Drosophila melanogaster: one gene and its partners. The protein of the gene in region 3 purifies or fractionates together with the protein of the main gene of each other region. This does not show direct contact. Each region holds a gene or a part of one and is shown on either strand. Other genes may lie near its edges. The genes, in order: unc-104, prd1, Rab39 and ema.

Evidence for each region.
Region 1: the proteins of Rab39 (region 3) and unc-104 purify together in Drosophila melanogaster (affinity purification with western blotting; one study listed by BioGRID). This does not show direct contact.
Region 2: the proteins of Rab39 (region 3) and prd1 purify together in Drosophila melanogaster (affinity purification with western blotting; one study listed by BioGRID). This does not show direct contact.
Region 4: the proteins of Rab39 (region 3) and ema purify together in Drosophila melanogaster (affinity purification with western blotting; one study listed by BioGRID). This does not show direct contact.

Annotation. Positions count from the first base shown.
Region 1 is NT_033778.4:16,762,997-16,767,712, forward strand, and holds the start of unc-104 (uncoordinated-104), read right to left. Parts: upstream 3,005-4,716; 5' UTR 2,837-3,004; exon of another isoform or gene 2,619-2,836; coding exon of another isoform or gene 2,394-2,618; exon of another isoform or gene 2,365-2,393; intron 1,379-2,364; 5' UTR 1,142-1,378; intron 345-1,141; 5' UTR 302-344; coding exon 202-301; intron 138-201; coding exon 55-137; intron 1-54. Other genes in the region: CG42392 (uncharacterized protein), read right to left, coding at 2,394-2,618; CG5348 (uncharacterized protein), read left to right, coding at 3,873-4,183, 4,241-4,575, 4,645-4,716. UniProt on the Drosophila melanogaster protein: Required for presynaptic maturation, has a role in axonal transport of dense-core vesicles carrying synaptic vesicle precursors, components required for the morphological transformation of axonal growth cones to mature boutons.
Region 2 is NT_033777.3:11,780,975-11,788,791, forward strand, and holds prd1 (pruning defect 1), read right to left. Parts: upstream 6,041-7,817; 5' UTR 5,649-6,040; intron 5,455-5,648; 5' UTR 5,395-5,454; coding exon 4,509-5,394; intron 4,440-4,508; coding exon 3,561-4,439; intron 3,491-3,560; coding exon 2,652-3,490; intron 2,597-2,651; coding exon 2,444-2,596; intron 2,385-2,443; coding exon 1,981-2,384; intron 1,926-1,980; coding exon 1,712-1,925; intron 1,659-1,711; coding exon 1,458-1,658; intron 1,397-1,457; coding exon 1,028-1,396; intron 966-1,027; coding exon 846-965; 3' UTR 157-845; downstream 1-156. Other genes in the region: HisCl1 (Histamine-gated chloride channel subunit 1), read left to right, coding at 6,608-6,720, 6,791-6,974, 7,048-7,357, 7,472-7,606, 7,668-7,817.
Region 3 is NC_004354.4:7,733,191-7,737,284, reverse strand, and holds Rab39 (Rab39), read right to left. Parts: upstream 2,363-4,094; 5' UTR 2,058-2,362; coding exon 1,950-2,057; intron 1,522-1,949; coding exon 973-1,521; 3' UTR 529-972; downstream 1-528. Other genes in the region: Pdp (pyruvate dehydrogenase phosphatase), read left to right, coding at 3,153-3,266, 3,796-4,094.
Region 4 is NT_033777.3:16,436,351-16,443,542, forward strand, and holds ema (endosomal maturation defective), read right to left. Parts: upstream 5,312-7,192; 5' UTR 5,069-5,311; coding exon 4,863-5,068; intron 4,810-4,862; coding exon 4,670-4,809; intron 4,607-4,669; coding exon 4,458-4,606; intron 4,401-4,457; coding exon 4,258-4,400; intron 4,202-4,257; coding exon 4,115-4,201; intron 4,054-4,114; coding exon 3,263-4,053; intron 3,008-3,262; coding exon 2,891-3,007; intron 2,824-2,890; coding exon 2,362-2,823; intron 2,301-2,361; coding exon 1,715-2,300; intron 1,650-1,714; coding exon 1,443-1,649; intron 989-1,442; coding exon 673-988; 3' UTR 530-672; downstream 1-529. Other genes in the region: mRpS33 (mitochondrial ribosomal protein S33), read right to left, coding at 11-130; Ttc1 (tetratricopeptide repeat domain 1), read right to left, coding at 5,722-5,998, 6,053-6,567; CG14882 (uncharacterized protein), read left to right, coding at 6,938-7,027, 7,078-7,192. UniProt on the Drosophila melanogaster protein: Required for mitophagy, autophagy and endosome maturation, possibly by acting in multiple membrane trafficking pathways. Required for endosome trafficking and maturation.

The DNA of each region.
Region 1 (4,716 bases), on a different chromosome or scaffold from region 3:
GATGCGAATATAAATTTAAGTAAAATTTTTTCTTGGACTCGAAATAAAACTTACATCATGTGACCAGTAGGAGTAATCAAAGTTGAAGCGCTTTACTGAATCGCTTGTGTTGGGCGGCACCTTTGGATTGGTGATGGCTGTCAGGACATAAGATTGAAGTATTTAATTAAGAGAAATCTAGAGTGTTTATGGGATTCTCACCCGTTGTGGCTCCTGCCATCTCGATGATGCATTTCGACTCCCTGGCTATTTCGCGCGAGTTGAAGGGGCGCACTCGCACCGCCACCTTAACCGACGACATCTTGTCCTTCTTCCTCTCTGTGGGTGTCCTGGTTTCCGGTTAACTGGAGTGGAAATAGAGGAACGGGAATACTTTATAGACATTCGAGTCATTCGAGTGGGCTGCAAATTGGCCAGAGACTACCACTGCCCAGCACTGACATTTTATAATTGCCCCAACTTTATGGTTATACACTCGTCCACGATTTGTTTCTGTGGCAGCTCGAAGCTATGAGTCATACCCCCGGCAACTCGCCAGGGAAATTTGAATTGAAGCCAGGGGTGGGGCTAAGAATTTATTATTTGCTGTCCTATATGTGCAATACGTCGAAGACTAAGCCGGGTACATTGCCAACTATTTTATAATACAAATTTCTTATAAAACAATAGACGTTAAGGATTGAAGATTTATTGCTTTCGAAACATTCTAGGTGAGTTCTCTTTCTCCTCTTTTTTTTTAATAAGAAGTGATACAGTTAAAGAAAGTTAAAAATTCTTTATAATTTTGTTAGATTTTAGGTTTGTTTTTCAGTAGTTTTATCACTTATCGTAATGGATTTTAATGCAAATAGTTTTCCCTCTAGTTTTTACCCTCTGACTCACACACACGCACACACACTCACACACTTGAAGCAGGGGGAAAAATTCCACAATCCACAAATGCTTCCAATAAAAGCGCAGACGAGTGTCGGCCAATAGTCGAATGAGTCATCGAGCAAATACAAGAGGCAGAATAAAGAAAAGTACTCACACCCCACAAAAGAAAGAAAGGACCCTTTAAAGGCGATGCATAACGCGTATTTTCAATATATTTCTTAACTTTGTTAAAACAAATAACTACCATTTATGGAGATTAAATTACCTTTAGTTTAGGCCAAACGATTGCTGGCTTATTGGGCGGCTATATCCTTAAAGCTCATTATAGCATAAGTTGTAAGGAATCGATTGCACTTATGTGTGATTTGATTTTTAGTTAATGTTTGATAAGGTAAAATTTGTTTTTTTTTTCGTTTGTCACTCTTTGCTTTATTTATTAACTTTCTAGTGGTAAATTCACTTGACCAACTGAGAAATTCTTTCACTCGCGTACACTAGCGTCCTGAAATATTGTGAAACCAAGTTTAGAAGCCATTCCAATGCGCAGCTGTGAGAATTGCTCTCTCTTTCCTGTCCTTTCTCTCTCTCTCTTTGTTTACCTGACCAAAATACTTTTGTTTATGTTTTTTTTTTGTTCTTTCAATTTTCCGAACAAACTGTCAAAGCAAATGTGCAACAGCCTGCAGTAAAAAGTCTCCACAGGAAGATTTGCGCAGAAGCGCGAGACAGGAGAAATGTGGAGAGAAGACAGAGAAAGGCGAGAGTATATATAGAGAGTGTGGGAGCGAAAGTGGGATAGGATATGCTAAATATTTGTGTAATGTATTTTATTTATTTTTTGTATGATATGCAGACTGACGCTGGTTGAAGGCGCACGAAACGATAAAAGAACGACTATAAGAAATTAAAATCAGGCTATATCCTTTTCGAGAATGTCCACTTCTCAACGTCCTTAGCTCGTTTTACCTGGCCAGGCTCTTGAAAATTTATTCGTCACACAGTCAACCCTCATTTGCACTTGAGAAACGAACTAAGCACTCGAGGTCCTTTGCAATACCACGCTTTTGTTGCCTTCTGCGTCATATTTTTTATGGCTTCCTGCGGGGCAACACGGCGGGCACTTAATACCGTATGCAGGACCTCTCACCACACTCATATGCGCGCCCCGTCTCATTCGTGGGTAATATCCTTGCGTTCGCTTGCGTTCTTCTTGACCTTTATTAATAAATTTTCAAGTTGCCTTTGCCATGGACACCGAGCCAGGAAATCTCTACACTCTACACACACTATGCACACTACTCTGGAGGCCACTGTACACTAGATGATGGGGGGGGGCAAAAATTAGCGAATCAAAATTATGTAAAACGTAATTATGGGCTATGTTTTATCGAGAATTTTGAAATGTTCGGTCGAGCGAATTGATGAAATTTTGCAAATATATTTTGAAGCATTTACCAATTGATTTTCTGTTTCGTTTTATTATTTTTCGGGGCATTATACTCATTAACCCATGGAACTCAAAATATTTTCTGTTTTAGGAACATTTGTGGTTGTTGCTGATAGTCCGTTGGTTGTTGTTGTTGCTGCATTTCTTGGTCTGGCTGGTGTTCTTGTGTGTAATTGAATACTAGTACAAAGCTATCCAACATGGATCGCTTGGAGGTAGTGGCGAATATAATGGACAGCACCAGAATTGTTGTTAACAATAGGGCGAAAAACAATAGGTAACCAAAAGCGCACATTCGCGTAGTTTCTTCTTCTTGACTTGGCTAAAGGATTTTTGAATATATATTATATATATATGTAGGCTCTCGTATATGTGTATATATGTGTAGGGGTCTGTCTTTCTGTATAACAGCGAAAAATTTTCACTCCTTTTTTTGGGGGACAAATAATTGATAAAGTTTTAGTTTGCCACTGTATCGAATTGTTTTAATTTGAAACTTGTTAGTTGCTTTACTTGGCTGCGCTTTGTTTAAACGGTTGGGCAACTTTTCGCTGATGAAAACTCTGAGCTTTTCTGCACAAAATCGATGGCCAGTCAGCGGAAGGCCTTAGGAAATGAAATTCGCGCACGACTCTCGAGACCAGAACGAACTGCACCCGTTAAGGGTAGACGACACAGTGAGCAGTTCTGGGAAAGTTCAGAGGATACGACGACCAGCCCACCAGCAGGACGCATGCGCCGCAATCGGGGTACAAAACTGGAAGAACAGCAACCGTGTGGGCTGTATGGTATATATGGGTATGCGAAAATTTTTTTTTTTATAAATTTCATACACATAGCGTAAAAGGTCCGCAATAACAAAACGACCGTCTGTCATCCGCGGGCACAAGGAATTTCATTATTAGCGCAAGGTGTCCACTTTTTCGGACGGCCACTGTGGCAGACCCCCAATTTTCCCCGATGTTTGATCTTATTATGAGCCATTTCACATATCGCTGCCGGCACAGTGGCTATAGCGACGGCTTTATCCACCAGCTGATGACGTAAAGTGAATTCTTTTTATTGATTTCCCATCGCACCGAGACGCAGGACAAGCTTTGGCTTTTTATGTTACGCGGTAGTCGGTAATCGGTAGTAGGTATTTGTATACTATGTATATATTCTACGGCGTAATTACATTGACATTGAAATCTGACGGCGAGGCTGGGAGGGCAGTAAAAAGTTGGAGGTTTTGGCTTTGGTAGGGAAATGTTAAAGAATGGGGCTTGGTAAAAGAATGTGCTGGAAGCTGGACGTCCTCATCTGTGGGGAATCTTTCATCATTACATTTAACTTTTTTTTAATTATGAAGTTTACAAGCTTAACAAGTGGTTTAAAGTGCAAAAAAAAAAATACAAGTATTATCATCGAAAACAGCGATTGTAGCCGGAATTAATTGTTGAATTAGTTTTTTCTGATAGCTCTTAGGAAATCAAAGTAATCCCAGAACTAGTTTCACTTTTACCCAATTCAACGCCAAGATTTCGGACTACAAACAAGTAAAACTAAAATGCCGGCCATCGACACAAAAACAACCAAATCCGATGTTTTTACCGTGAAAAACGCGTTGGATGCGGAATTCGACAATTTTTGGAAAACGGTTAGCTGTTTTGCGGCCAACAACTTTCCGTTCGAGGAGCGATGTGAGTTCGTACAGAAAGCGGAGGACTGCAATTCGAGCACAAATGTAATTCCATACATGAGACTCTTGGCCTGCGATCTGAAGTGTATCAATCAGTTCCAGGAAATGATCTTCATCGCCTTGTTCGTGGCGTTTTGCTTTCAGATATTGGTTCTACTAATTTACACAATCAATGTTTAGTAAGTAGCTAACTAAAGCGAAGATTAAAATTGAGCTTGAAATGCTTGCTTTTGCAGCTATAGTCCTGCTCTGAAGGCCGTATCCCGATTCCTTCATATGAACGAGCATTTGGCGGGAGTTACCCTGATGGCATTTGGAAACACTTCTGCCGATTTTTTCGCCAACTTGGCCAGCGTTGAACGACATGTCCCTGTGTTTGCCAATAACTTGTCGTCAGCCCTGTTTGTGATTACGATTTCCGGTGGCCTAATATTCTACATTTCGCCCTTCAAGATGAATTCCTACGAAACTGTCCGGGACATTTTATTTCTTCTCTTAGCGACTTTATTGATGGATTACTTTGCATACACGACAAACCATTTCGCATTGGGCTATGAATTTAAATTTTTCAGTAAGCATAATAGCCCAAGTCGATTTTCTCTTTTTCGCAAAAATGTAATGGCACTGACTTAAAATTTAGTTGTACTCTTGGTTTACATTAGCTACATCATTATCAACGTGGCAGATGTGTACTTATTGCAAAAGACCATAG
Region 2 (7,817 bases), on a different chromosome or scaffold from region 3:
CCCCACACTCATTCGGAATATAGGGTCCCACACAGCATAAACCCGACTTAGAGCCCAGAAAACCCTTTCCTCTGTAAACCCTTTCACCACTTGCAATTATTGAAAATGTCAAGGACCATCAGCGAGCTCAGAATAAATAAAAATTCGTTTTGTAATGGCGTTTATTGGTTTTATTAATTATCATGAGCTTTTAGTGGGCTGAAAGGCTTACAGCGAAATGTCGGGCGTTGGGAGGGGAATTTAATCTATGCTAATTGAAAAGGAGAGGCACAGCATTGCAAAATAAGATTAAGTCCACCATGCACACTTTTCCTAATACACATTTATAAATGTTTGTTTTGTTTATTTTATAAATAGCCACATATTGTTTGTCGTATATCATATGGATATGATCCTTGGACCAAAAGAGCACCCCCAAAACATAACATTACCGATTGATTACATGTCCAATATTCGTATAAGTTAGATTATGTATAATATTTTGTTTCTTATTATCTGTGCAATATTTGTACACAATGTATTTATAAAAGGTAAGAAATAACGAATGTAGAAAATCAATAGAAACTAAATATCCTACAAAAGAGCATACCAAAGATCAGCGACTTTAAGTTTAATATCACAAAAATTATTCAAATGAGATGTTACTAAGCGCAAACGAATGAATGAGTCAAGCGGAGGCACGCATTACAAAATCATAATACATAATACATACAGACTATATAAATATCAATACTTTTTGTTCTTTAGCTATTTGAGTATTCAGGATAGAATATTTAACGCTTGAGTAATGTATATGGAAATATAATTTTCTATTTGTAAATGGAGTATATATGGCCAGAGCCACGTTAACCCAGCGCAGCTGATAGCAAAGGCTCCCAGGCCCTATTTGTGTCCATATAAAGTTTATTATATTGCTCGGCCAGAGAGTCACCGTCGTCTAGTATGGTTATTGGAAATAGATCGTTCTGTAAAATTAGAATATTTCGTTATTGCTAAGGAAAGGTTTAGTAGTCAACGAGAAACATACATTCTTAGACTGCCAAAGCTGCTCTAGCAACCGCAGGAAACGTTGCATTTCCATGCTGCTGGCAAAGAATATAACCAAATCGTCCTGGTTTTCCAATGGTGCCTCCTGGCAGGAGAACTCCAGAATGCACCACCAAGTCTCGCTCCGCGAGGTTATCTTAATGCCAGTCATCTCTTTGATGTCCGCACAAGTTAGTATGGCTAAACCGGAGTTCTTTCCGTAAACACTGGTCATTCTTTGTGATTTTTCCGGCGAAGCTACAGTTTCTTTCGGAGCTGCATCTTCGTTTGTTTGCTTAGTAGGCGTAGAGCTTAACGAGGAATATGAATGTTGAGTGCCACGGGTAGGAGTACTAATGGTGGAACCCATCTAAAATTTTAAGTCCAAATGATTACGAAGTTTGATTTGCTAATACAATAAGCGCACTTACTAAGCTACTGGTTTCAAAAACACTGAGCATATCCTCCTCAAGCATGGTTTCTTTATTTCCCTGAACGGCTGCATTGTTATCCGCCTGCTGGCTTATTTTTCGTAGAGGAGCCGAAAAGTCTTCACGCAGGGTTATTAAATGGTTATCCGTGACGATCAACGTGCATCCAAGGGTTTTGTGCTTCTCCTCTTGAACCACAAGCTAAACACAACAAAAAGTTAAAACAAATCTTCTAATATTAATTGTCTACTTACGCCACTGGCTGATTGCAAAAGAGCCTGGAGCCACTCGGAGGCTACATACTCGTCGGGCGCAGCCATTTGCAGGACTTCGCCCTTTAGCGTAATCTCGAAGCAGTGGGGGCGCTCTGATTTCACAGTTCGCCGGGCGCCCTGACACTCGGCGAGGGCCATGGCCCAGCTGGGAAGCCTTTGGGTGGAATCGTTGAACATATACAATACGCCAGCTCTAAGAAATGAACACATATTAAATTGAATTCCTTCAAATATCGAGAGTTACGAACTTCAGTAAAAAGTATCCTGGTTGCCAAAATATTCTGTTCGCTGCTGAAGTGCTGATCGTCTGCCTAAGTCTTCGATGCATGAGGAATCCCTTCATTGAAGGTCCCAGCAGTTCGCTTGGCGATTCGACTCTCATTGACCCTCCAGCTGGCACATTAACCACTGCATAGAGCATCCAATGTTCTGCTACGCCAACACAGCTGTTGGCACGCACAAAAGCCTGCAGTGGAGCCAAATGTTCTAGAGTCAGCTGACCAACTGCAGGCAGAGTGGATCCACTGCGTCGGGCACACAACTCCAGGTTGGCTACCAGGGATCCGGCTGGATACGGACCACCCGCGAGCAGGACCTGCTGCATGTCTCGATTACTGTTGCTGAGCAAAACTGTGTTGCCAAAAGGTCCCATCTAAAAAATGATGTTGCATTAACTAATATATCACAGCAATGTCATCCGTTAACATTTACCAGTATGACATCCAAGTCCTTGTAGGCCAAAACAAACTTGACACACAGACTATTTCCTTCCATATTCACCACATACAGAGTTTTATCAGTGAGTAGGACAAGTACAGGTGTCATGATGCCATCTACATTGTAGCCTGTATACAGTTTGAAAGCCTGAAATGATAAGTTTTTATAATTGATTGCTATTTGCTACACAATTACAATCTACCTTCATTAGCTGCTCATTTGATTGTTTCAGATTGAACAAGGACTTTCCTTTGAATACATCAATTGAGATCTCCCCAATGCCAAGTTCGAAATTGGACAAGTTGCCTTGGAAATCGTTATCCAAACTAATGGCAAGTTCCCGTCGCGGCGAATTCGTGCCACACATCTCAATCTCCATGGCAATCTCTGCATTTAAGTCATCTATAAGCTCGTAGTTCTTTGGCCGAGCACCCTTCACATACAGATCGGATCCGGCATGCCTCTGTTCGGTTCTCAATTTATCGGCAAAGAAATTGTTCTTGCGTATGGAGGTTTCCATTATTTTCTTCTGTGTGACATTACGAAGGAACCTATTTATAAGTGAAGTTTTGGCCGCCGGAGCTGGCGGCTTCAGTAAGTGAGCATAGTCCACATCTGTGTAGTCTACGATGACCAAATCGCTGTCCATTGAGCGCGCATTAGTTGTATCTGTAGTGGTTATAGTTAGTATGTCGTCAAACTCTTCGCTGAGAATAGTGCTCTTTGAGTCGCGACCACTACCTCCTGGTCCTCCGCGTCCAGCGGCTAGGTAGGCACTGGGGCTGTGGAGGCTCCGACTTTGGTGAGGATGCTGTTGGTCGTAGTAACGGGGCGGCTGTAAGGGTTGTCCACGCTTCTTGAGCGGTGAAGGAAGGTGTCGAGACTGACGCTCCGCGTTGCCCAGCTGCGGATTCATTGCGATTTGATGGTTGCTGCTGGTGTTGGTGTTCGAACTAGGTTCGGATATGGTTGATGAGGAAAAGTTGCGCTGAAGTTTGCCCGCGGCTGGTGCTTGTTGCTGCGGCTTAGCGATTTTTGAAGCTATATAAGCATAATGAACAGTGTTAGTCATCGGGGAAAATATTAATTCAAATGAATATTATTTGCTCACCAAAATAGTTATCTGTGACTGCTTGCTCGTCCTTTGCAACTGGTGTGCTGTCTTTGAAGCTTCGAAAGAAATTACTAAACGTCTTGGCAATGGGAGCATCCAAAAATGATTTCTTAATTTGACTAGCGGCCGGCTCTGCGATGGGAGTGTTTTGCTCGAGCAGACTGGCTACACTGGTGTGCTGAATACCGGATGAGAGTTCGGATTGCAGATCCCCCGTCTCGTAGGATACTCCGGTGTGTTCGAAAACAGTGCTCTCACAATTAATTATAAACTTGCTGCGGAACTCGCCCTGTGCGCTGCCCATTGGCACTGTTTCCTTATCGAATTCCTCTTGGCGATGCAACATCAGTGACTGTTTTGACTCCATCGGCGAGGCTTCCGTGGAGCTGGCACCATCGTCTTCGTTCTTATGCCGCAATTGCTCATCAACGTTGTGCACGAATTTCTTAACTGGTTGTGCCTGCTTGCTGCCGTCGAGACTCTTGCTGAGGAATGGCTTAGCTCTAAGAGGCGGTGACTCGGCCGCCGGCCGCGATTTGTGCTCTGGTGTCTGTTCCAGCTCAGGGACGCATTCCACCACCGCCTGCAGGTCTTCGGAGCCCTCGGGAACTCCGCGCTCCGGCAATGGCATGGTAAAGATGCTCTTTAGCGATCCAAATATCATCTTGCTACTGTTGTCGAGCAGTTGGTGCTTAATGTCGTGCACGTTAAACTTTTTTACCCGCCCATTGAGATCCTGCTCGAGTATGACATTTGTATGTAGCTTAGTTTTCTTTAAGCAGCTTGATTTCGGCTTCTTCTCCTTATTCCATACGGACTTGACTTTGGGACTGTCAGCATCTCCGATATTGGGCTCTGAATAGTAGCAATTGTCACCTAATTGTGGGATAAAGATTAATGTGGATATACATCACAAGGATTTAAGCAGAATGTTATATAGCTTACCGATTAGATTGTTGTTAGCATTGCTCATACCAATGCAATCACATGAGCTGCTCTTAGCCTGCTCGTACTGCTTACAATTCGCATTGGAATTTTTGTCTTGTTCGTCGGAATCCAAACTGGAGTTGGAACTGCTGCACACGCACTTGTAAAGTTGGGGTTGCTCTTCCTGTTTTTGGGTCGCAGGGCCGTACTCAAAGACACCTGAGGTGTCATAGTGCAGACCGGGCGCCTCGTCCGTGTCAAAAATGTTGTCGTAGTCCAGCACATCCGAGCAGGCATTTCGGTAGACCAGATGTCTCTTTCGCCTGGCACCTCCGCCACCGGTAGCCTCCTCGCCATCGTCTTCCCTGCCAGCGGCACTGAGTTCATTAGGTCCCTCCGGACGTTCCCGATCCGGACACCAGGAATATCGTCCTGGAGCGCCGGCCACGCCCGCTGAGTTAGCGAAGGCCAACTTGCGTCCGTTCTTGTAGGTGATAAAGCCATGCTCAATGTGAATGTTGTCGGTACGAGTGTTCTTCAGTATGTCCTCGTGGAAGGACACTCGCTTTTTGGGAGTTTTGGAGGCGGACGAAGCTTTGTGCACTTTGCGACGGTATACAATCTTCTCCGTGGTGTCGAACGTAGAGCACTCGCTAATGGTCATAGACTCATCCGGCGCTGCAGTCACATTGGAGTTGGGATCCACCAAAGGGAGGGGCATCGGTCTAACGTTTTCCTCGTAGGAGCAAATGGACTCCACCATCACATCGCTGTTTTCCGAGTCCAGGAGTTGTACTCCCGAATCGCTGGGCGTGGTGTCCTCCATGGTGCTGCTGTTCAAGCTGGAGCTCATCTTGTCCATGCCCAAATTGTTGTTGGCCTTGGGCAACAGAGGTGATTCCATGGTCGTTTCGATTTTCGCACTTGTCAAGAGTTATCTACGCAGTGATTTTCGTCTATTAACCTACGGAAAATTGTAAAAGTCGGTAAACCATTATTTGTGTATCTCGGCGTTCTTGCTATTAATCAATATCCACAAGTTGCACAATGCGCCGCAGCAAATCGCGCCAGTGCACAAAGGAAAATGACCCCTGACCCAGCACCCCCTTGAAAATCGCACCGGGATTAAATTCACACACCGCTGCTTCTGTCACTCACCTGCGATTGTATCGCAGGATTCCATGTTACTGTCGATCTGGGTGGTTTACGTTTCCTTTTACGCTTGCTTTAAGAGTTTTATGTGCAGATTTATCGCCACTTGTACATTTTAGAATTGCCAAAAAAAAACGTCTTGGCAAGTGAAACAATCAATATTTTGACCTCATAGAGTTGCCAGTTCCGCGAACAGCTGATTGCGCGCCAGAGCTGCCAGATAAGAGAAGAGGTTGGCAACGCGGCCTGTTACAGCAACGGGAAGTTCCGGTTTTCAAATAATATTTTTGTAAATTTTAAAATTCAACAATTATTTAACACATTATGTAAAATGTTCCTGAAGAGTTAATTCAATTTTAAGACAAGTTTGTATTCGGCTTTTATTTAAAATATTGTAGAGCACGTATTTGCATTTCAAGAAAATTGGGATTTAAAGTTAAGAGCAAACCCAGAACAGTTTGTGAAAACGTACTTCGAAAGCAAATGCCGGAACATGCCGATAAACCCATTTTTGACATCGACAGTTGGCGCCCAGTTCGCTTGTTTCGCGCAGTCAAACGGTTTTTCATATTTCACAGATATTATTCGCAAATACAGAGTGGACATTTAAATTAATGCCCTTGTCAGTGGGTGCGAACATCATTTCCTCTTTGCCATTTCGCTAACCGGGGTCAGTTGTCAATTTGAAAAGTAGTGTAGTGTGGGCGAATGCCAATGAAAGCGAATGAAACCTTAGAAATCAATTTATCACACTTTGCAGCACATCACAATCGTCGCGATAACTCTGCCGTTTCTTTATTGGTTTTTGCTGCGCGACGAGTAAAATATAATTCCTCGCTTACTAATCCTCCGAGCAAGTTCATTCTCAAGCGCACCCAGAGATGAGCTACTTTGGGAATTGACATGGACTGCGGAGCAATGAGTGCCAGAGGAACAATATCAAAGCCGAAGGTAGTGTGTTCATAATGCAAAGCCCAACTAGCAAATTGGTAGAATTCAGGTGCCTGATTGCGTTGGCAATATATTTGCACGCGCTGGAGCAATCGATCCAGCACTGCCATTGTGTTCATGGTTACAGGTGAGTCCGAGTGCGTTTGCCCAGTTTCATCAGATTTACGCCACAGGGCTGTTCTGTTCCACATATGCAGAAATAACACGGAGAGCGCCGAGCTGGTCTCCCACTACGAGTCGAGTCTTTCGCTCCCGGACATTTTGCCCATTCCCTCAAAGACGTACGACAAGAACCGGGCTCCCAAGCTCCTCGGCCAGCCCACAGTAGTCTACTTCCATGTCACGGTCCTCTCCCTGGACTCCATTAACGAGGAGTCTATGGTCAGTAGAATGTGTTCATCTTTTCAATACTCATCACTCAGCAAACACTAATTGGCTTATCATGCTCCTTTAGACCTATGTGACGGACATCTTCCTTGCACAAAGCTGGCGTGATCCTCGCCTGCGGTTGCCTGAGAACATGAGTGAGCAGTATCGCATATTGGATGTCGACTGGTTGCACAGCATTTGGCGGCCCGATTGCTTCTTTAAGAACGCCAAAAAGGTCACCTTCCATGAGATGAGCATTCCCAATCACTATCTCTGGCTGTACCACGACAAAACGCTGCTCTATATGTCCAAACTCACGTTGGTCCTGTCGTGCGCCATGAAGTTTGAGTCCTATCCGCATGACACGCAAATCTGCTCCATGATGATCGAGAGTTGTAGGTGGAAATGTAATGGTTATCTACACCCTGCAAATCCCGTATCGCTTGGAACTTTCCATTCCGCTTCTCGAATTACAAATAATCTGTGTTGAACCGAGTTTTGATTGGCAGTATCCCATACGGTGGAAGATTTGGTTTTCATTTGGAACATGACCGACCCACTTGTGGTTAACACGGAGATTGAGTTGCCGCAGCTAGACATATCAAATAACTACACAACCGACTGTACTATAGAGTACTCAACAGGTAAGACTAAACTATTAAAAGCCATTTTTTTCAATATAATTTATATTTATTTTATCTCTAGGTAACTTCACCTGCCTGGCCATTGTGTTCAACCTGCGCCGACGCCTGGGTTACCATTTGTTCCACACCTACATCCCCTCGGCTCTGATTGTGGTCATGTCTTGGATATCGTTTTGGATAAAACCAGAAGCGATACCCGCCCGTGTAACTC
Region 3 (4,094 bases):
GGGAACACTGTCACATGCGCGAACAAATTTGAAAAAGATTTTTCCAACTTCTTTACATTACATTATTTAATTTGCACTACTAAGAAACAAGTAATGATTAAAGAATTAAAGGAATTACCTGTTGTTGCCAGACCGATGAGGCCACCAATATTTATGGAAATTTCCAACAAAATCTAGATTGATTGAGCACAACTACGAAGGTGTAAAACAACAATAGAAATCGTCGCAGCTAAGTTTTGGGTTATCTATCAAGTGGACTAAACTTTGCGAAAAATTTAATAAACGAAATAAAGCACATATATGTAAACAGCCGCCAAATATGCCGCGAATTCTTTTATTGTAAAATTGTAAATTTTGGAAACCGTGCAGCTACGAACGTTTGTGTATCACACAGGTTGCTTTTTTGACAATTGCTTCAAGACTCCTTTGATTTAACAAAGCGGAGAAATGTGCATAAAAACTCTAAATCGATTAGATTAGACAAAAACAAAGCCCAAGCTAACCCTTGATTAACCAAATGCATGCCGTCCGTATTAATAAAAACGTTTATATTTCAAGTTTTAAGTATATGTATAGCTTTTCCTTTCGTATTTGTGTATGTGGAGTTATGTGTTGTATGAGTTAGGAGCGCAGAATCTCGGCTACGTATACCTCGTGTGACTGGCTATCAATTATAGGGGCGAAGTAAACATAATTTGGAAAGAGGGGTTCAAACTCAATCTTCACTAATTACCGTGAGTCACCGAACTAAATATTAACTTAAAAGCGATTAACTATATGTAATTAGAAAAAAAACGCATTGTGTAAATATACGTAACTGTTTTGGTTTTTTAGCTAAACTAGACGATTAAACAAGATTAAAGAGTCAACAAATTGGTGTTTAGGGGGGAAAAGGAGTACTGGTGGGTCATACGATACAAATCAATGTACATAAACAGTATTGAAAATAATAGACAATGAGGTCGGGGTGAATCAACAACATGATGACTTTTCCGGCTCTGCTACGACGAGATTAAAGTCCAGACTATTGGGTCGCGAAAAGCCAGACTTGATGCCGTCCCATCCATCCTCCGCCTTATATTCGCCGGATCGAATGCGGGCGTACACCTCCTGGGTGACCATGCGAAATGCCTCCTCCACATTGGCACCAGACCGGGCCGATGTCTCAACGAAATGCAGACCGTGCTGTTTGGCAAATTTTTGTGCCTCCTCTGTGGTCACCTCCCGGTGTCCGCCCGCATTGATGAGGTCCAGTTTGCAGCCGACCAATGCGAAAACGGGGCGGTGGGGCTCAATGTGACGCTGTGCCTCCATCATCCACAGCGGTATGTGCTCGAAGCTGGCGTGATTCGATATGTCGTAGACCAGCAGCACGCCAACCGAGTTCCGGTAGTAGGACTTGGTGATCGAACGGAAGCGCTCTTGGCCAGCAGTGTCCCACAGCTGGAGCTTGATCTGTGTGCCGTCCTTCATTTCGATGAGGCGGGCAAAGAAGTCGACGCCAACTGTGGGATCGGATAACTGCAAAATGTAAATATTGTGTTATTTATGATTAGGTGGATTCTTGGGAGGCAGTAAAAAGAAACGCAGTTTAGAGCTGTAATGCTTTTGAGAACACTTTTGATTCCACACAATTCATGATATCTCTATGTTTTTAAATTTCCCGCGCAGTTATTTGAGTATCCCTGGTCCTATTTTGGACTTGTGTGTTGTTTTTGCTGCCTGCATTATCAGGCGAGCACACAAACATGCACACCAGCACACACACACACTGACAAGGTGACTAAGGCAGCATCTTTTTAAAATCCACTCCCTTTGTCTATTTTTTGTTGTATCTCGCCCAATGCAATCACTTAATTATGTAATGAACGCATTAACTGCATCTCACGAAGATCGCACAGTGGGCCAAGCGTCCAAGTACAGTGGCCAAAATCGTTGGACATACGCACCTCGGCGAATTTGCCGTCTGTGAAGAATTTGAGCAGCGAGCTCTTGCCCACGGTGCTGTCGCCGATTAAAATCAGTCGAAATTGATACTCGAAAATGGGTTCCACCATTCCGAAGCCGAATTCGAGGGATTTGTCTCTTGGAATTGAATCCGCAGCAAAAAATCTGCCTTCCCTTTGTAAAGTTTGATACGCAAATCGTTGATTTGCTTATGCTGCTCGTTTTTCTTCTTATTTCCTGCAGTTGTATTGCAAATCGAAACTTTCTGTTCTTCACACGATTACTGGCTTTGCAATGAGATATTTCCGGCTGTCGCTGGTGGTTGTTAAATTATAAATATTCGAGAATTCAAATTCCTTCGAATTTTGTTTTGTTTTGTGTTTTTTTCTCATATGCGTGCGCGTGTGTGTGATAATGACAACGTTGCCAGACCAGCAAAAGTAATCGATAGTAGCCACAATGAAATTATTTCATTACCATTATTAAACAGTTATATCTTCTAAATTATTTAATAAAAATAGTGTCCTCACATCAATTTGGCAGTTTTCAGATTTTTTAACAAGCTTAGATGTATTTTTCGGCGGTACACAAAAACTAGCTAGACTTGGCTTGAAAACGGTAACCGGCTAATGGCAACACCGCCAGTCTGGCACCGCCGCCCAATAGAGATGGTCAAAGAACGCGATTTCGCGTGACACGATGAATGCATACAAATGTAGTTAGTTTAAATTGTTCTGAGAAAATATGACAAAAAAAATAAAATAATCTTTCATATTAAGCTAATAAATTTACAATAATTACACAAAAAGATTTGGCCTTGTACAGTGCTTTGACACATAAATTAAGACGTGCGTGTTCATTTTCGTTCTAGGCTGTCTCGTGCAGAGAAAAACCCATCGCTAGTACGCACTGTATTTTCTTTTTACGTTTGTTTTCCGTGAACACCGTCCGCTTCGTATTTCACAGCACACAAATGTACAAACAAGCCGCCGGCCAATCAAAAGCAACAGCGGAAAATAAGATCCCTTTGTCAGCAACCGGCAACCGGAGTCGGTGAATCAGCCGGAGGCTCCGGGATACGGAATCCACCACGTTCTCCTCCATCTTCTTTGCCTACTCCTCCCCCGATTTGGTTACGGAACCAATATCATTACCGTTAATTATAGCCACAGCGGGGCGAGAGCATATACAAAATCTCCATATAGATGTTCAAGTTCGTGCTGAACGACGCCGCCAGCTACGTGCGATCCAATGTGCGGGAGTTCAGTTTGAATGCACTGCGTCTGCTGCCGCAACTGCCTCAATTGAGTCCATACGATGTAAGATTTGGGGTTCCTGGCAAGTGTCATTAGCAAGCTGGGCAGGGTTCGTAAAATGTAATCAGTTTGTAAGATCTTCGATCGAAAGTACTTCTTTACTTATTAATTATTTTGGATTTTTCCTATTGAAGCTACTTTTAGAAACCACAAATCTATGCATTACATCCCTAAGCCGTTTAAAAATTTAACTATAAAGCCTGCATAATTTTCTGAAGATCCAATAACTACTTTCAAGGGCTTTCAAGAAAGTCCCGAGTGTTTTCCTATAAACAAAGTGAACGACGTCGACCCGACTGTATTCGATTTTCCATATTCATATTTCAACTACAGCAACCATTTATAATGCCTTTACTGAGCAGTTAATTTCATTTGATCGTTTGCACTGGACAAGAGTCCATACCAAGCGGCTTAAGAACAAAATTTTTAGGAACCGAATAAGAATTAACTGATTAATAACTATTACCATGGGAACCTTTGTAATTCCCACATAAAGAGTAAGAATCTGTATTAATGTAAACTATTTTCACAGGTTAACCTTGTTCTGAGGGAGAACGAGTTCGTTTACAACTTTCCCGTGGATGGAGTCATCCGCAGCTATGAAACAAATCAGCTGGGATCAAACTGGCCCTGCGAGGATTCCCGCACGGAGGCCAGCTTCCTGCACCGCAACGGCTTCATTTGTGGCATTTTCGACGGGCATGCGGGAGCAGCATGTGGCCAAGTGGTGTCCAAGCGACTGCTTCGCTATGTTTCGGCGGCCACGCTGCCGCGCCAGGTGCTCCGGGAGCAGATGAAGCAGGGTGCCGACAGCCAGTCGTTCCTCAAGTG
Region 4 (7,192 bases), on a different chromosome or scaffold from region 3:
GAGAACATACCTTCATGGACTTCTCGTTTGTGGTGCGAGCCACTTCGCCGAAAATGCGATTTGAGAGGTAGTTCATCCGGCGAGCATACTGCGTGCCGACCTTAATCAGCTCCGTGTACTTGTGGGACATAGTTAATATTAGTTTGCTATGCTTTTCATGAAATAATTTAAGTTAAGTTTCTAAGTTTTAGTAAATTGCGGTTATGTCACGAAACAAAAACAAGCGACAGCTGATTTCCAAGTGCAGTTGGCATTCACACAAAAGGCCGACAATAGGGACATTCCTCAAATTTTAAACCTGTATTGACCGTTATTTTAAAGATTATTATAGAACATTTACTTGAAAACTGACTACAAAACAGCACTGGCGTCTATAGACAATTCAGTAAAATTAAAAGTAAAACCTTGTTATAAAAATGAACATATGCGAAATATAAGAAACCCACATTTTAGAACAATAATTTGTGGCTTCCATTATCGAAGGTTCAAAAAACATACTTCTTTACTAATATATATATAGACTTGAGCTCAAATTCGTCAAATTAGTTTTTATTTAAAATGAAAAGGAATTAGAGTATGTACCACCTTATTAGTCAACTGGAATAACAAAATTTTAGCAACAATCTAAGCATAAGGCTGCTTCCAATGTAATACTAAAACTTCTAGTCTATCTTAAACCGTCTCTATGGCCCCCCGTCGCCTGCCCTCCGATCCGCCAGTGGCCTCGTTTCCGTCGCTCCCAATAAAAGAAGTCTCCTCGGAGCTCTGCGTTGGGAGCACTTCACGGTTCAGCCCATTTAACTGGCTTAGCAGGGCGTTAGTTCCCCCCAGGGACGCTTCACGTGGTGAGCCGCTATGACCGGACAGCTGATCGTAGTGGAGCACGCGGATGGGTGTGTGTGAGCGGGAGGCAGGCGAGGGGTTTCCCCGAGAGTGCGGACTGTTGTTCCGTGAGTGCTGGAAGTCCTCGAGAGGAATCTCCTCCGACCTAGAATGAAAAAATATTACACATTTATTTATAACTCGATTAGGTGAAAATTAGTAAATTTTATAATTAACAAACACATAGAATAACGAGGACAGATAAAACTGGAGGGCTTAAAGGCATGCTATTCTTTGTTTATTTGTCAAAATAATATGCAAATAAATATAAAAATATAGGACAAACGATATCTTTATACATAATTATACAAGGTGGTATTACAAGCAAACTTAGTCAATCTTAAAGATTTTTTTTTGGCCAAGGAGCCAAAAATGTAGCAAATTTCGAGAATCATGTAAACAGCTCGATAAATTATAAAATAAACTTTTTGATGTCTTGGGCGTAATCCAATTAAAAAAAATAGAAAGACTAGTTTAGAATACTGCAATACTTTACAAATCTCAATTATAACAGAAACCATTCTAAGACTACAGAGCTAACGAAAATGTTTCATTGTTACCGCGGCCTGGGCATTCTAGGGCTGCTCTCCCGCGACCGATTTCCAGTACTTCTGGGCTGGGAGTTTTCCCGAGACTGCGAGGAGCTGTGGCTGCCCATGCTAACACTGGGCGATCGCTCCCGATCCGAGTGATCGGCCCTAAGATTCGAGCCCGAAGTTGAGCTGGGACTGCGGCGTCGGGAGCGGCCAGCGCTTTCATTTCTAATTCTGCGGGAAGACGCACAGATGAGGATGGAAATGAGGAACATGAGGACACACCGACGTGAACTTACCCTTCGATGGATCGATTCGGGGCCATCTGGGTTCGACTAACCCCAGCGCTATTGCTTCCACGCAGCACCGCTGCAAATCCCGGCACTCGATTGGCCGTGGAGAACATGGGACGGTGGTGACTACTGCGCGAACTGCTGCCACTGCTGTTACCACTTCCGCCGCTACTGGATGCGACCATTGTGCCACCAACAGCGTAGACGGGAGAGTCCATCTGTCCAGGAATCTCGATGAGTTGCGCAATCTGGTACATCTTCTTTTGTCGCGCCTTGCTACGACCCTTTGTCAACCTCTGCTTGGCAGCCATGCAACGGATGTGATCGTCGAACAGGAACTTAGCCGAGAGCAACGGAGTGCGGTTGTGAGTGACTCCGCCCCGGTGCACGGTGATGTGCAAGCAGCGCGAGTCATCCTTATCACCCTGCACCTCTACGTCCTGCAGAAAGCCAACGAACTTTGCCACGCCCCAGCCAAGCAGCTTTGCATCCGGCTCGACGAGAATTAGCTGCAATGCGTCAATGACCAGAAAGCGTCTTTGCTTGCTGCTGTCCTTGGCCACAACGGTGCAGGCTATTAGATCACTATTGTCTAGATGGATAATGGTTAGCCTTAATATATACATACATCATCGTAGGAGGAGTATACTTACTCAGATCGAGTACGTTCTCCACCTGAACCAGATTGACTACATTTGTAAGCGGCAATAGCGATTCCTTCTCATTCAAAAACTTTTGGCACGTGCGACGCAGCAGGAAGTAAACGCGAATGGCTCGGCGTGCCTTTTCCACCTCCCCGCAGGGAAGTCGTCGCGTAAAGTTGATTCCAGTAAGTGGCGTTCCCGTGGGAGGCAGTAGAATGGTGGAGTCCATGCACAGGAATTCCACGTTCAGTTGCGCCTTTCGCATCTCGTTGTATTCGTCTTCGAACAGGTCTAGGAAGATGTCCTCCGACTTGTAGAAGTTACGGATCACCACCATCGACTGATTGCGGGCGCTGAAGAGCAGATCCTGTTGTGCGGCGGTTATGCAGCGCGAATCATCCGAGCTGGGACGGGTGAAAGTGACCAGTAACTCCAAGGCAATCTCCACGGTAATCAACCGAATGCGGGACGCTTTAGGGAATTCAAATGGAATTATTAAAGAGCTAATGATAACCGGAGTTCGAACAGTTGTACATACATGGCTGACTGGACTGGGTGATGATGTTTAACAGATGCTCAATCAAGGCTGTCTTATAACTGAAGGCGCCACGGGTTGATTTTGCAAGAACCTGCTCGAACCACTCATTCTTGATGCCTATATGGAAAGGTACATAAAGATATTTATTAAGGAGACTATGATAGATGCATACGATTGATTAGTACGGGCAGTGGACGAGTTACATACCATCTGAACGGATTGGGACATGTACCAGAATGTGACATTTTCATTACACACAAAGAAAGCAATTAGAATGAAGCAAAAATGGGGTGATCAGAGCAATGGAAAGTTACACAACATTAGCCAAAAAAAACGTCAAATTGAGTTAAGGGAAATATCCATGAATATTACCTCTATTGTGCGACATAGCATATATGAGGCACAGCGACAGCAGGGCAAGGTAATCGTTTTCGGTGCAGTCCAAAGCATGCAGGACCGTGTCTAAAAACGGTTTGGCCATCTCAGCAAAGTCAGCCTTCGTTGAGGAAGATGACTTCTGCAGCAGCTGCTTTTCCTCGTCAGTTATGTTGCGCAGTTTAATCTGCTCCGCTTCAACCGCATCTGCTTGAGAGTCCAGTTCTGTGGTGGCTGGGGATGAGGACTCCACGCCACTGTCCTCGCTAAGGGCATAGCTGGACGAGCTGGACTGACCGGTGACTGTATCCAAGGCCTGTTCGAGACTCTCGTCGGGCTCGCCGAAGCCAGGCACAACCACCTCGCGGTGCTCAACGTATGAATTAAGAATCTCGGCTGCACCCTCCTTAAAAACGCTGTGGTCACCATTGAGGATAACCCAGGCCAGAGCGTGCACCAGAGGGGCATGCGAAACCACCAGGAAGACCAATGAGAGCAGGAAAAGGGCCACGATGGAGCTCACTCGCGGATTGTGCATCTCCTGTATGTCGATGTCCACATTGCGATTAAGCACAGCAGCTAGATTCTGGGTAACCACTGCCAGTGAGGGCGGGGGCGGAGCTGGTGTAAGTGAGAATATGTACAGAGGCACGAATAGCTTATGCAGCAAGTGCTCGGTTAACACCGCGTTCAGATCCTTGATTTCCAGTAGAAGAATGTCACTCAAATAATGCAAATGATCCAGATGCTCGGCAACCAAATTGGACAGCTTTTGATTCGATTGATGGCTGCGGATGAATTAAGAAATCAATACTATAAAACGAGGGACTATATTACAATAACTCTTACTCTATATCTGTGCGAACACAAGTGTCTAGTTCAAGAATGTGTTTGCCGATAAACCAGACCAGATTACTGAAATATGGAGCAGCCGTTCTAGGGAGAAAAAAATAGTTTAATGGAGCTCATGGGACTGAAGGCAAAGGTCGTACTTGTCTCGAATAAAACGCAACATGCTTGGATTTTGAACCTTGTAGACATTTAAGGAAATGGTGCGCACTGCAATTCTCACCATTGACTCGGGATGATTAAAGAACTTAATAGCCTCTGTATACAAGGGAAAGTCATTTGTGTGCTGTAAGGAATATGTCACATTAAATGGATGTAAATATGTGTTTTAGGCAATGCAAACCTCATTGTAAAAGAAGTGTATTGTGTGAGTGTTTAACTTTAGACTTAGCGTCTTTAAAAAAAGTATATAATAGCCCATCACATCCTCGTCGGAGAAGTCAAACTTGTGCACCATGATAGAATTTACATGGTTGTTGCTCAACAGATAATCTGCAACGTCATAGGAATGATTACGTCTACTGTATTATAGAAACTGTTGAAAATTGTACTTACACAGGGACGTCTCGTTGCGTATGTTCTCAAAGAGGATGTTGAGAGTCTGAAGGAGCTGCACGCAGACGAAACTCGAGCCTCCACTCTTTTGTCGCATTATGTGCAGGAAATACGATAGCATATTCTTCTCCAAGAAGAAGCTGTTGCAAATAATTAGATTAAGGTTTATTACATTGAGATGCTTAATACTCACTCAAACACCAGCGAGTCATGCTGGTCGCCCCAAATCAGGATCTCTGCGATGCAGCGCAGCGACTCCACCAGCAGGCCACGATTACTTTCCGACACGGTGGTGTTCTTCTCCAGAATGCTGTACAGGTACTTAAGGTGCTCCAGCGACAAGCGGTTTTTGGGCCGCCCACCCCAGGGTCCGCCAAACCAGCTGCGACTCCGGAACATGTTGGCAACTAGGATGGAATCAACTGGCCACGATCCGCCTGACTGCTCTCATATCAGGGTAAGGAGGAGTGCGGGAGCGCTGTTCTCTTGGATCTTTGCATGCACTACTGCTCACGGTCACGCCACTGGGTTGGCCCACAATAAGGGGGCACCTAATGCCTGCGATTGCACGAATCTAATATTGTAATTTGCGAATGGCGATTTTTTCCAACAAATTGCTCTTCTTCTTCACGGGGAACACAAGTGTCACAGTCAGCTGTTGCTTCCGCCCATATTTATGGTTATCGGTATCGAAGTAACAGAGATGACAAGTGGCTATTTTGTTGTGATTGCATGAGAACTGCGACTGGTTCACGACTTTTAAAAACCTCTCAAAAGAACCGTTTGAATTTTGTAAAACCAGACAGTAAAATTTGGAACAAACCTCATATATTAATAGCATATCACACCATGCATTTTACATTAAATATAATTAATGGATTTTTTTGGTACCGTTTGTTATGAAAATGGGTTCACATTTGCATATTCTACAGAGGTGAAAATGTACGAGAACTGAATTTGATACGTTTTGCTACAGTTTGACTATTATTTTACACATCATCCACGAATACGGCTTTATTTGTTGATCTGCAGAGCATTAGCTAGCTAGGTTTTTATTTAAAGTTGATGGAATACGAGCCCGTGTTGGGATCCTGTTGCATTTGGAAATTCTGTGTAGACAGTCCGAACGGTTTGAGTATCATGTTGCCCAGGTCCTTTAAGCTGGACATCATCTCGTTTTTGAGCTTCTCGTTGCGCTCGTTTATAATTGGCGGCAGCCGAATCTGAGCCTCGCGAGCCTCCTGCTGACCGGGATCGATCTCAGTAACTTTTTTGTAGTCCTCCAGAGCCTCGTCGGGCTTGTCTTCTTGCTCATAGAGCTTGGCGCGCCTGTAAGATGTAATTAGACTTTAGAAATTTTAAGGGAGATATTAAAATAAAGACCTTAAAAGCACCCTCACATACTCCGGCCACAGTTCTATAGCCTTTGTGCAGTCGTCGATGGCCGCTTTGTTGGCCTCCAGCTTAATCTTGGCAGCAGCCCTGTTTCCGTAGAGAACTGCTCGCTCCTTGGAGCTGGCCGAGGGGCAAATGTCTAAGGCTTCTGTGTAGGTCTTGGCGGCGCCTTCGGCGTCGTCATTTTTGAACAACTCGTTGCCCTCAACTTTCAGCTTATCGGCCTTTTCTTTGTTAGCTGTCAGCTGCTCTGGGCTGAGATCCTTCTCCCGTTCGCGCAACTCCTCAATGGTTAGCTCAGAGTCCACTGTCGTTGGTGTCGCGATGGAATCTCCACCAGCCGCGCCCTGTTCCGCTTCGTCATCCAACGCCAGCTGGTTTTGCTTCTCCACGATCTCATCCACGTCCTTTTCGCTCTGCCGCGTGCTGGTGGCCTCTTTTTCGGTTATCTCCTCCCCGATCGCATCATGGAATTCGTCGTCACTGTTGGCGTTGCCTGCCATTCTTTTTAAAATTGATCCTTACCGAATTTACTGGAGATTTCGGTTTGTTGTTCAGCAACAAATAAAGCTCCTCATGCTAACGATAACTGTGCATATCGATAACACCGATGTCGTACAGTGTTGACAAAGGTAGGTTTCTGATTAGGTACCTTCCCAAGCTAAGAAATGTTAGGTACAGATAATTTTTAAAACAAATAATTTAAGGATAATCCTTAATGTTGTATTTGGCAAAGATGAAGACCAATTTAAAATAAACATTTAATCTTTTACAGCTTCCCTTGATAAGGGAAGCTGTAAATAAACTCTTTCCAACACTACCGCTTGTTAACGATTTGACTGCTGCCCATGCGAATTGGTAAATACGGGAAAAATGGACTTAGGAGCTTATAAATTGAGTGAATACATCCCCGCCAAGCCGCTGGTCGGTAATCTGGAGTTGTGTTTCACGGACGAAGAGCAGGTGAGTTAGGAGCTACCGTGAGAATAGCCTTTTCAAGCCTATCTTTGTAGAGACCCACCGAAACATGCGGCCAACTTAAATGCTGCGATATTTTAAAGTTCCCATTCGCCCGCCCTGATTTCCAGCCAAGTTCAGTGGAGATAAAGGAGAGCAAGGTGCTCGTGT